3 linked regions of the Struthio camelus genome follow. The protein of the gene in region 2 binds, or shares a complex with, the protein of the main gene of each other region. Links are inferred from orthologs where the notes say so. Each region holds a gene or a part of one and is shown on either strand. Other genes may lie near its edges. The genes, in order: NUP37, SEH1L and WDR59.

Evidence for each region.
Region 1: SEH1L (region 2) and NUP37 share a complex: the UniProt entries of both Homo sapiens proteins name them as parts of the nup107-160 subcomplex of the nuclear pore complex. The link is inferred for Struthio camelus from reciprocal best matches to the Homo sapiens genes SEH1L and NUP37.
Region 3: the proteins of SEH1L (region 2) and WDR59 are in contact, whole or in part, in a cryo-EM structure (PDB 7UHY), measured with the Homo sapiens proteins. The link is inferred for Struthio camelus from reciprocal best matches to the Homo sapiens genes SEH1L and WDR59. Residues at the interface, in NP_112493.2 of Homo sapiens: Asn308, Tyr309, Met310, Asn312, Lys314; in NP_085058.3 of Homo sapiens: Pro713, Asp714, Glu716, Thr717, Pro718, Arg721, Arg837, Glu840, Gln843, His844, Asn847.

What each region holds. Positions count from the first base shown.
Region 1 is NC_090942.1:63,533,125-63,536,871, reverse strand, and holds the start of NUP37 (nucleoporin Nup37), read right to left. Parts: upstream 2,336-3,747; 5' UTR 2,201-2,335; intron 855-2,200; 5' UTR 799-854; coding exon 643-798; intron 1-642. UniProt on the Homo sapiens protein: Component of the Nup107-160 subcomplex of the nuclear pore complex (NPC). The Nup107-160 subcomplex is required for the assembly of a functional NPC.
Region 2 is NC_090943.1:113,515,977-113,519,723, reverse strand, and holds the start of SEH1L (nucleoporin SEH1), read left to right. Parts: upstream 1-1,411; 5' UTR 1,412-1,482; coding exon 1,483-1,593; intron 1,594-3,747. UniProt on the Homo sapiens protein: Component of the Nup107-160 subcomplex of the nuclear pore complex (NPC). The Nup107-160 subcomplex is required for the assembly of a functional NPC.
Region 3 is NC_090951.1:22,342,419-22,346,165, forward strand, and holds the start of WDR59 (GATOR2 complex protein WDR59), read left to right. Parts: upstream 1-852; 5' UTR 853-970; coding exon 971-1,034; intron 1,035-1,507; coding exon 1,508-1,590; intron 1,591-3,747. UniProt on the Homo sapiens protein: As a component of the GATOR2 complex, functions as an activator of the amino acid-sensing branch of the mTORC1 signaling pathway. The GATOR2 complex indirectly activates mTORC1 through the inhibition of the GATOR1 subcomplex.

The sequences.
Region 1 (3,747 bases), on a different chromosome or scaffold from region 2:
CTGGAAAACAAAAAATACGGTAGGTAATTACTTTCCACAGTCTTTGCTATATTAAGTTTTTCTTTTAAGGAATGTTAATTATAGCTTCAAAATAGTTATAAACTTTGTTGTTTTTCAGACAAGCTGAAAGTCTTAGAAGAGAGTTAAATCTAAATAGCATATATACAGAAAACAATATATGCGTGCAAAAAAAGGAGCTGATTGTGACAAAAAAGAATAGTTTGCACAATGAACAGCAAAACTTAGGCTATACATTTCAAAGCTGTCCACCTAAGTTACTAGGTAGCAATCAGCAACATTTCCAAGAGATGATACAGATGGGATTGCCTACTACTGTTTCATTGCAATCTATTGAAAAAGAACTTTATACCAGCAGAATGATGATCTCACAGTGAGATCACCATTCTCACTGAGATCACAGTGATATATTTAGTTATAACCAACTTGTAGAAAATATATATATACAAAAATATATATTTTCTCAGAGAATAAGTACTCTAGACTCATTAAGTCAATAGACTGCCTGGTAAAATGGAGTGAGGGGAAACAGGAAAGCAGCTTGGGTCTTTGTGCACCAGAGGTGCTGGCAAAGTAAGTTTCAGGAGGCAACTAATAAAAATCTCAGCAATAACACAAACTAACCTGAAATCTGCAAGTCCCAACTACTACGTAATTATTGCCACCATATGCGATTAGCGAACATGCATCTCCACAATCAAATGGATTGAATTTTACCACGTGCACATAATCTTCACAATCCACAGTGTAAGCAGCATTTCTAATAGAATCTTGCTTCATTTTCAAGGGAATAAATCAGGGTATCAACGTCTTCTACAGGATGAAGACCTATATACCTACGTATAAAGTTTGAAAAAGCAATCGTTACACATTTGCATAAAGAAAGATAAAAGTATTTGCGGCATAAATCAAACTTTGCTATAATACCATATTTAAAAAGAACACAAAAGCAGTATTTAAGCTCAGCGTATATAGATTTAATATGTAATTCTATCAATCAAAATATTAACTAGAACGCTTATATACGTTCAAAGCTGTCTCTACTGACTTCAGCAATAATGGCAAATTTTGTGCCATTATGACAATCAGCACTAAGACAAAAAAAGTGCCGGGAGATTAAGGCACTGTACACATCAGAAGAGTCACACATAGAACTGCTCAATTTCCAACAAAGAGACAACAAACGATGCATCACTACCTTCAAATTCTCTTCTCTAGTGTGTCTCTTTAAAAGATAGTATTTGTTTAATTAAAAGCAGAGCTAATCAGGGCCACACAACGTAAATGAGAATACATACAGAACACGAAAATACAGTTTCATGATTTAAGCCAACCCAACTGCTGACAGAGCCTCTGTAGTTCCCCTCTAACAGCAAAACAGCTAACTTTCAACTAGAAAAAAAGTGTGCATGTCCACAACTTACTACTTTACTGTATTCAACCAGTTTTCAAGTAAATTGGGTTCCTGCGCTAATACAGCGGGAGCCGAGATACACAACAGAGAACAGAATCATCCCTTCCAGCCCCAGGACAGATTCTCATTAGTTTAAGCCTTTTGGGAAAACATATCTTTAATTACACACAGCGTGTAGAAATAGCTTTATGTTTGAGAGCCCTGACAGATTTTGCTAAGCTAGCAGTCTGCAGGTCTCAGGATCAAAGACTGAATTTTTTGCTTGGGAACCACCCAGGTTTTCCACGGACATCACCAAGGCACAAAAAAGCTCTCCGTAGTTGCACTCTTTCATTCATTCAGCAATATGACACGCCACCACAGTGATACTGCGGCCAAGTCCTACATACAGCTATGTTTCTTCTGAGGCCAAATTTTAACCCCACCTGTAGCTTTCTGACTTGCAAGATATCTCACCAACGCAGACTGCCAGACCAGTTTAATTAAAAACTTCCTCGAGGTTATTTAGCTTAATTCCTTAAGGAAACACAACTCCGGCAACTGAGCCGTGCGGGTGCCCGGCAGCCCCACTGCAGCCCCCTGCTCCCTCCTCCTCCCCTCGGAGCCCAGCTGCTAACGCCAAGCTAACGTCCCAGCACGCTGCCTCCTCCCGCCCGAGGGCCCGGGCCGCGCCCGCCCCAGCCAGGCGAGCCCCGGCCCCAGCCCCGCTCCTGGGCCGGGAGAGGCCCCGAGCTCCCCCCCCCCCCGGGCCGAGGCCCCTGCACGCACCTCTGCGGCCCCCAAAGCGCCCAACGGCCGCGGCACCGGCGGCAGCGCAACCGCCTCTCCCGCCAACCGTTGGCAGCGCCTCCCACCCCGGTGCCGGCAGCCCTATGCTTCCGGGTCAGCGGTCTCGCGCTCCCTAATTGGGCAGCTGCCGAGGATTTAAATTTAAACCGCCGGGGAGGGCAGTTGCGGTCTCGCGCTTGAGCTGCGCTGGTGGCTTTGTCCTCCTAGTCACGCAGGTATCTTCCCCTAGGAGAGCAGGAGGACTGAGTTGGCTGGGAGAGGGGTGCTAAAGTCTGGGGGAGGGCGTAGGAGCTGCGGTCCTCTTCTAAGCAAAGAGCGGGGTGCCCCGGGGTGGGGGTGCCCCGGCTTCGCGCTGTCCCTGAGGTGCTCGCGGGGGGGCAGCGCGAGGCTGGGAGGTGGTGAGGGGCGCCCTGCGGTGGCCACGGCCGGGGCCCTCAAGCTGGGGGGAGGGATGATGGTGATAGGATAGGACAGGACAGGCCTTAGGGCTTACTTCAGTTTGTTTTGTTTTTTCTTGGCTTGTTTGAGATGTTTCCCTAAGTGTTTGCTCTGAGTGGTTTGGCTTGTTCCTCAGAAACTGCCCACGTTGTGGGGGGGGGAGGGCGGGGGAGGGAGAATGGAGAAGCACCTCAGGAGAGATTATGTCTGCCCCATACTGACTTGCACCTGGTCAACTGTCCTGTCCCCTATGGCCTGCATGACTTGTTCACGTCAGTGTAAGCAGAAATAAAATGAAGCAAGTCATCCCTTGCAAGCAACTTGGAAAATAAACTATTGCAGCTGCTGTTACTGTTTTGCTTGTTATGAGAAGTCTCCTGTATTCCTCACCTCTCTCCTGTGCTTGTTTGTTCTTCATGGTTATGCCTGTTTAAAAAAAAATGCTGTGGGTTGTGTGTGTGAATGAGGTGAAATATAATAAGGGGAAAGGTTAGTTTTGTGTTCTATAAGTGGATGACCTAGTTCTTGCTAGGTACTACATGCAATGTTGAGCCCTGTGTTTCAGGGAAGAATAGGTTTAAAGAAAGCAAGATGAGAGTCTCAGGTACCTTTTCTTTAAAAAAAAAAAAAAAAAAAAAGGAGGGGGGCAAGAGGCTGAGGAAGAGCAAAGCACAAAGTAGTCAAATTCAAAACTGATACTGAACTCATTCCTAAAGGAAATAGGAGAGATCAAGAAAAAAAAAAACCCAAATTATTTAGTATTTGGAAATATCTTTTTGTAGTGATTTTTGGAACATCTATTAAATCTCACATTTCTAGGCTTAAAGCACGTCCATAGAGACTGGTCTGAAAGTATAGTGGATGCAGATAGTACAGAAAGCAGATTATCTCCAGGGAGGTTTGTATTTTTCCCTGGGGCATTTTGACTGACTGGTTTCAGAGGCGAGACTGTCTTGTGTGTGATAACTTTTACTCTGTTATGTTAGTGTGATGTAAAAGGAGAACATGGGGTGTTTATGAAGACATGTCGTATATAAGCACTTTTTCCCTGTTTCCTGCAATGTTTGCTCTGCCTTAGCGAGGTGACT
Region 2 (3,747 bases):
TCAAACTTGGCCCATATTACCTCCTCTTCTCCTAGAAGTAGGTCTCATGTTCTTTTACGCCACAGTACTCTCAGGGCTGACCTGATAGTAATCATTAATAGAGTAAACCATAAAACAAAGAAGTAAATGTACTTTGATAAGTAAGTAAGTCAAAAACTGACGTGTTAAATGTTGCTTGTGCTTTTTGGATTTGCATCGCTGCAGAGAGCTCCAACGTTGGAAGTACGGAAATGTAAAAAGAGAGTAAATTATAGCCCAGCTTAACAATATCTACTAAAGAGAGGGAAATGGCAATAGCCCTGGCTAGAAGAGGGGAGAAAGCGGGAAGCAGCTGCAGCGCTGGTTAGGAGGCAGCAATATAGCTTGAGGACAGTAGTGCGAGAAAGCAGGCGGGGACTTGGGTGAGCAGCTGCGAAGGGTTCCTACGAGATGGTGAAAGCAGCAGGAGAAAGGAGGATGTGGGACAATGGTGGCAGTGACATACAAAAAGGTTCAGAATTACTGTGTCGGATTGCCGTAACCGACTTAACGTGTTTCTGAGATGGCTCCCAAAAAGGCGAAATCTATGACTTACTGCCATCTACTGGAATATAGTATTCACGTCTAATTCACGTTTTACTGATACAACTACATTTAATTGTTTTAAATATTCCTTTACCAAGATGTGAAGTAAGAAATCCTCCCCAAAGCCCATAAAAAAAGAAAAAAAGGTCTCAGATGCAACGTAGGCCTGGAGAAGGCTGTCCAAAGGCAGCAAGGTTGCTGCTTTCTGAGGTGCCAAAACGACGACCGTGATTTCCCGAGAAAGCTCAACCTTGCATCACCTAGAAAGGAACGTTAATATTATGTTTCTTACACGTCTCCTAGTCAGGACTGGTTTCATTCAGTTAGGCCTTATCTGATGCCTACTGCTTTGCTGTCCTCTGTGAGAGATTCACTACTGAGTGTCACTGCGGCTCACGTTGCGCGTGGCTCCACACTGCGACGACACGCAGTGCCCTATTTTCAAAGCACAGAGTTAGCTCCGGCCAGAGCAGCAGCCCTCAACAAAGCAACTCCAAGCTCGGGACAGCTCGTATTCCCCCGCGCCGGCACGGAGGCGCTCGCTGCCTGCTTTGTGGATGCCCACGGACGTGGGGGGCGGGGAGGGAGGGGGGGAAGACCTTCCCCCTGGAGGACGGGTCACCGCCGGGTGGCTGGGGAGGGCAGAGCGGCTCCGCGGTGCGCGGAAAAGGGGGGCGCCCCAGCGCGGCTGCCGCCCGCCCCAGCGCGGCCGCAGGGGGAGGGGAAGGGAGGGGAGGGGCGCGCGCGAAGGGCCGTTCACTCGGCGCCGGAACGCACGTTGGCCGTTGTAGGAGGGGGAGGAGCGAGCGGGCGGGCGCGGAGGGCTCTGGGGGCTGAGCGCGGGCCGGCGGCGGCCGTTGCCCCGCCCCCGGCGCGAGGAGGGCGCGCGCCTGGGCCGGGCCGGGCCGGGCCGCGGAGATGTTCGTGGCGCGCAGCATCGCGGCGGATCACCGCGACCTCATCCACGATGTCTCCTTCGACTTCCACGGGCGGCGCATGGCGACGTGCTCCAGCGACCAGAGCGTCAAAGTGAGCGGGAGCCGCCGGGCCTGGGCGGGGCGGGGAGGAAGAGGAGGCACCGTGGCGCCTGCCCGCGGAGCCCGGCACCGGCGCGGCCTGCAGGGCCCACCGCGCCGCCGGCGGGCACCGGCCGCGGCCGTGCGGAGCCGCCGGGCTCGGGGGCCGGCCGGCCGCCGCTCCGCCCTGCCCGGCGCGGCGCGGCGGGCCTCCAGGCCCGAGGGAGCCCGTCCCTCTCCCCGCTCCGCCTTGTGGCGCCGAGGCCTGGGAGCGAAGCGTCGCTCCAGCCGCCCGGGAGCCGCCGCCCCGGCGGGCGGGCGACCGGCCTTCGGCCTCCCCCGGGGACTGCGGAGGGCAAATGCTGCAGAAAGCCCCAGCTGCCGTTCTTGAGCTAAATGATTGCGCCCCCAGACTTCAACGGCAGGGACTGTAAAGCCACAATGTATTTATACATAATGCTTTTTTTAATATATATATATGCACACACACATATATACACATGCACATGTGTATATAGTATGTATATATGTAAGTATATATATACATATACATGTGCAAACGCACACACAGACACAGGAATACATAATTTTTTTCGACCCCTTGCTACAGCTGGGAAAACCACACAAGCACCTGATTCTCCTTTTTGGATTTGAAACAGGAGCAGTAGTTTTTGTAGTCTGTTGTTTTCGTGTCACGTGGGATGACGGGACTGTGTGCCCCAGTACCCAGAGAGGCTTTTCCTATCGGTATTAATTGGTCTAAATAGATATGTTCTTTTTCCTGACAGCTCTTACTTTTTTTTTTTTTTTAACATCCTTAAACCATTGTGGCTACAGCAGTGCAGTTTTATTTTGTGTCTTCTGAAAAGCTGTATTTATTTGAAGGCACTAAGGGAGGAAGCCGACGTCTCATACCGAAGCGCCGACAATCAACAACTAGCTGAAACGTTCTGTGCGTGCTCACACAGATAAAATGCTAGAAACCTTTATTTCACACTCCTTTAGAGGAACTAAAATCATGATAAATGGAAAGTTAATTGCTTTTTCCATTATATGAGTATAGGGAGAAGAGGTTACGTACTGTTAGATTTAAGGTATTCAGTTTGCAGAGGGCAATAATAGCATTTTTTTTTCTTTTTTAAGTTCTGGAAAATGGCCGATAAAACGTTAGCACTTTTCAGTAAATAGCTGTCTAATTTAGATGAGGCTTAAAAATAAGTAAACAGCCCCTCTTCCCTTCCCCGCACTTCAAAAAAAGCCCACTCAAGCATGTAAGTCAGCCTTTGATCTGGATTAAGTATATAAAACGTAAAGCTTAAAAGAGAATATACTTAAGAAAGGTGCCATAAGGTAGATGAAATTTAGGAACAATATTGTTCAGTGGTATAAAGTTACTTTCCAGTCATACCAGTATCTCTTATAAGAGAGTCTTGAGAAATTTTACTCTAACGAGAATTTTACAACACTGCTTAAATAGCAGTATATCTGTTATTTGGTGTCTGTTTTAGGTCCCCTCTGCCTTAGGTGGGCCCTGCAGAATAGGAATCGGGCAGCAATTTTTGTGGAGTTGGCCTGGTGAACTGATTATAACCAAGGTTGTATTAGAGATCCAGAATGACAAAAGTGAGACAATGTTATTTCAATACGGTTATACAGTGAATGAGTGAGAAACAAGGAGTGGCTGCCAGGTGTCTGGAGTTGTCTTTCCTTGATGAGATTCATGAGTTTCTTCATGATTTCTCTGAAAAAGTTGCAAAGACAAGATTTTTGGGAAGTTGAGAAAAATTATTGACAGGATGGTTATAATTCAGGTCAGACATAGTATGAACCAAATCTGTTAACCTACTGGGATCAGTTTCTCTTTGCTGTCCTACTCTGTCCTTTGTGATTGCCAGAAGCCACCTCGAGGTTTTGGAACTATCTGTGAGCACATGCCATGGTGAGGATCATAGGAGTGCTATGGTAAAATGGAGTAATTTTGGCATGCCCATGGAATGTAAGATCAAAGTGAAGAGATGAGAATTGTAATAATTTGTCTTCTGTAAAAAAAAATAGGAGACCTCATACTGTAGTGGGTTTTGCAGATGTGTGGCTCTTCCTCGGACCTGTATTAAGGATATTTTCAAGGTTGAGTGAAGTGTAGTAGTGTACTGGACCAGAAAGGATT
Region 3 (3,747 bases), on a different chromosome or scaffold from region 2:
GCGCACCACCACCGAACTCCCGAGCGTCGTGTGAGCCCCCCGCCCCGGCTCCTGCCCCTTGCCTGGCCGCCTCGCGGCCGGGGCCGGGGGCGGCGTGCCCTGACACCCCGCGCCCACGACAAGCCGCTGAGGCTGCTGAGGGCCCTCCCCGAGGGCCCCTCCGGGGGGCTGGGTCCCTGCAGGGCCCCCTCCCGCTGTGCCTGCCCGGGGCAGGCTGGCGGCCCGACTGCCCCGCGGCGGGCAACGGCAGTCGCGCTGCGGCCGCCGAGGACTACATTTCCCAGCCGCCCCTGCGGGCGCCTCCCCGCGCGCACGCGCGGCCCCCGCGGCTCCTCCCCCCGACCCCGCCCGCCGGGGCCGGCGTCGGGGGTTGCTGGGGCGGCGCAAGATGGCGGCGCGCTGGAGCAGCGAGAATGTGGTGGTGGAGTTCCGCGACGCCCAGGTGCGCGGTGGCCGCCGGGGGGGGCCGGGCGCAGGGCAGCCGCTCCGCCCCGGCGGCCGCAGGCACCGCTACCGCGAGCGGCCGGCCGGCCGGCCGGCGGCGCGGGGCTCCGCTGGGCGCCTGCGGCGGCCGGGCCGCGGCCCGCGGGGGCTCGGCTCCTGGTTGCGGGCCGCGGTTGCCGCCCCGGGGGCGGTTTCGCGGTGCGCGCCGCTGCGGGCGCGGCGAGGGGCCGCTCTCGGGGCGGCGGCGGCGGCGGCGGCGGCGGCGGCTGCCTTAACCCCCGTTTGGAGCAAAGCGCGCGCAGCCCTCCGCCGCGGAGGGGAGCTAGGCGCAGCGCCGTCTGGCAGAGAGCCCTGCCCTCGGTGCGGGGGGCCAAAACCGGAGCAGCGTTTTGGCTGCCTCCCCCTCGCCTTTTTTAAAAATCTATTTCCAGACAACTTTCTCTCTTGTTCCCTTTGTTCCCCGCACCCCGAAACCTTCAGTCATGATGGGTGCCCTGTGGCTTGGCCTCGTTTCTTTAGATTTCTCATGCAAACGTGTAGAGACGGGAACCGCCTTAATGTCCGAGGCAACCGGGCCTGCGAAGCTCCAGGTGTGATCTTTTGGGTATGATCTTTTCTGAAACTCGTCACCGCTGCTGCCAGTAAAATGAGGTGTCTCAAACTGAGAGCAGGTGGTTGCTAAGCACTCTGTTATGCTGAACACCTAAAGATAAGTACATATAATTGAATGTAACAAATTGAGGCCAAGTCTATTGCTTTGTGCAGTTGCTGGTTATCTGTCTATTTTGTTAAAGAGGTGGTAGCAGGAGTACGTTTTTTCTTCTCTAGTCCAACCGTATAAAACCTGATGTGCAAGAGAGCTTCTTTACAAGCTCGTGACCTAGCTGCAGTCAAAGCCAGTAAAATTTTAACGTGACTGTTCATTGTTTTTGTTAGCAGCGTTTTAGCAGTAGCAGTGTTTTAGTCTGGCTTATGGGGAAAACATCTTATTTCACGAGGCAGTTTATTTCTAATCTTAATTAGATTTTTAACATGTGTCTGTTTTTTCCAACTATATTGGCAGGCCTAATAGAAGACGTTACTTCTTCCCACACATCTTACCTTATTTTTCCTCTGAGGCCATCACAGCGACTTTCATGGCTGCAAGTATGAATTATTGAATATAGCTTGGTTAGCAGGAAAAGCAGTTTAGGTTTTTAAATAGCAAAAAGGGCAGCTTTTATTTTTGAAGTTGTTTACAGTAGAACTCCCTTAAGAGTTTGCTTATGTGCTTTCTTAGAAGCTATTCTAAGAAACAGAGGGTGTGTTTCTTTCTTTCTTTCTTTCTTTTTTTTTTTTTTTAAGATATTGGCAATTGTTTCACAAAGCTGAATAGAGTATGTGAATTATTTCAGTAAGATATCTAGAAAAATAAAAAACAGGTTTGCAGAATCTCTTATCTTGTAGTTCGTCCTCTTATGCTAAAGCAATATCCAGTCTACGTTCACTGTTCCTGATAGACGCATTGAATACTGTGTTGGTTAAATCCAGCCTACAATTTGTAAACTAACAAGTCTTTTCGGTTTTATGTCTGAAAAACTTTACATTAGTTTTGTTTTCCTCCTGAAAGAAATTCTTCTGTCTTGTCTAGAGACTATGACTCTGTTTTTAAAGATTTGCTCTCAAGAAACTAGTAACAAGATACAGAAGTATTTATTCCTGGATCACAGATTAAGCTCTCATCTGGCTCAGGAAAGTCACGGTCTTATCACTTGATTGCTTATTCATAATGATTTGTGTGTGGGAGCAAAGAGGAGAAAAGAGAGGAAGAAACAGGTGTTTAAATCCTCTTCAGCAATTGGTGTCAGTCTAGCTGTTGTGCTGATTTATGCCTTAAATAGGGAGGTATTTCAGTTGCTTCAGTTTACTCCAATGGTCATCCTTCTAGAATGGCTCTGACCTGCCTGTCCCCTCAAATGAAATCAGAGGGCTTCAGTCTCTTGGGCTGCTAGACTATTGCTTTCAAACTAATCTCATTTATATATGTTTGAGCTTTAGCTTTTTTAGGAGTTTGCATGCATGAAAGATTTTTGCAGAGCGGAAACCTGATCTTCAGAAGGAGAAATGCCTTGGCTGTGATCATGTAGGCCTGAGTTCTACCTATAGGCCATGCTGCCTCCAAAATCCCTATCCCAAACTAATATAACTGCAAAGAGAGTCAAAGAGTGGCCGGCTGTTGCATTTATAGGCTGTACTTGTCTGCAGGAACTGCAGTTACCTTCATTTCCAATGCCGAAAGCGTGTCGTGTGAAAACTACAGCACCTAATCTGCAACACTCCATCCAAGCAGAAAACCTTATGGTAGTTTGGGGCGAATGTTGTCTAGAAGTGACATTTTTTCTATAGAAACCGACAGAGGCAGCAGTCTGTGCTCTCTTCCAATTTAGATATGACCCACAGGCTCTTGTCAGGCTGTCAATACTGTCAAACGGAGAGTAAAACTCACCGTATCTGACTATGAAATCGTCAGAGCAACTCAGCGTGCAGGCGAGAAGTTATACTATGCAAACAGCTGATCTCTCTCACCAACAATTTGCAGTCTAAAAATCAATGTAGCCTTGGCAAATCTGTTGCTGTTCAGGTGAAGGTGTTTTCTGTGACTTGTCTAGCAGAAGTCAAATTAAATGCTAAGGTAGACGTTTGAAGTCTGAGAAGATACTCCCTGGGCTGTAGGCTCAGAGTTGGTTTTAACTGTGCAGTGCTCCTAGCGTTCACAGAGCTGTTACTTATAAACAGCAACTCTAGCTATCCTGATTATTGTTTTAGGATAAAAACTGTTTTCAGGTTGGTTGGTTGATTTTCAACCGCACCTTCTGGAAGGTTGTGCTGCAAAGACACATGTATCCGTATACAAAGCACATTAAATGCTGATTTTTTTTTTTCCTTCTGTTGCCTAGATAAGAGGCTGTAATATTGGAGGAAAGATCTTGCCATAAACTGACTTCATTTCTGACCCAGCAGAACAGCAGCCTGACACACAAAGCTTTCTACTGTCCAGTAATTAGTCATTACTTTTTATGATGGACAGTGCCTGGAAAAAAGTTTACCAGTGTTCATTATTGAAAAACAGTTTATAAGGATTTATGATATCCTTGTGCCAACACCAGGAAATAAACTCCGTATATGCAATTATCAATCACTTTAAATTGACTGGTAGATTTCTCCTATCTTGGGGAAAGATGGCCAAAGCTGAGTGAAATATGTCAGCTGACTAGCTCTACGTCACATGAGAAGGCCCTGATTTCAGTAACGTCTTCAGTGAGC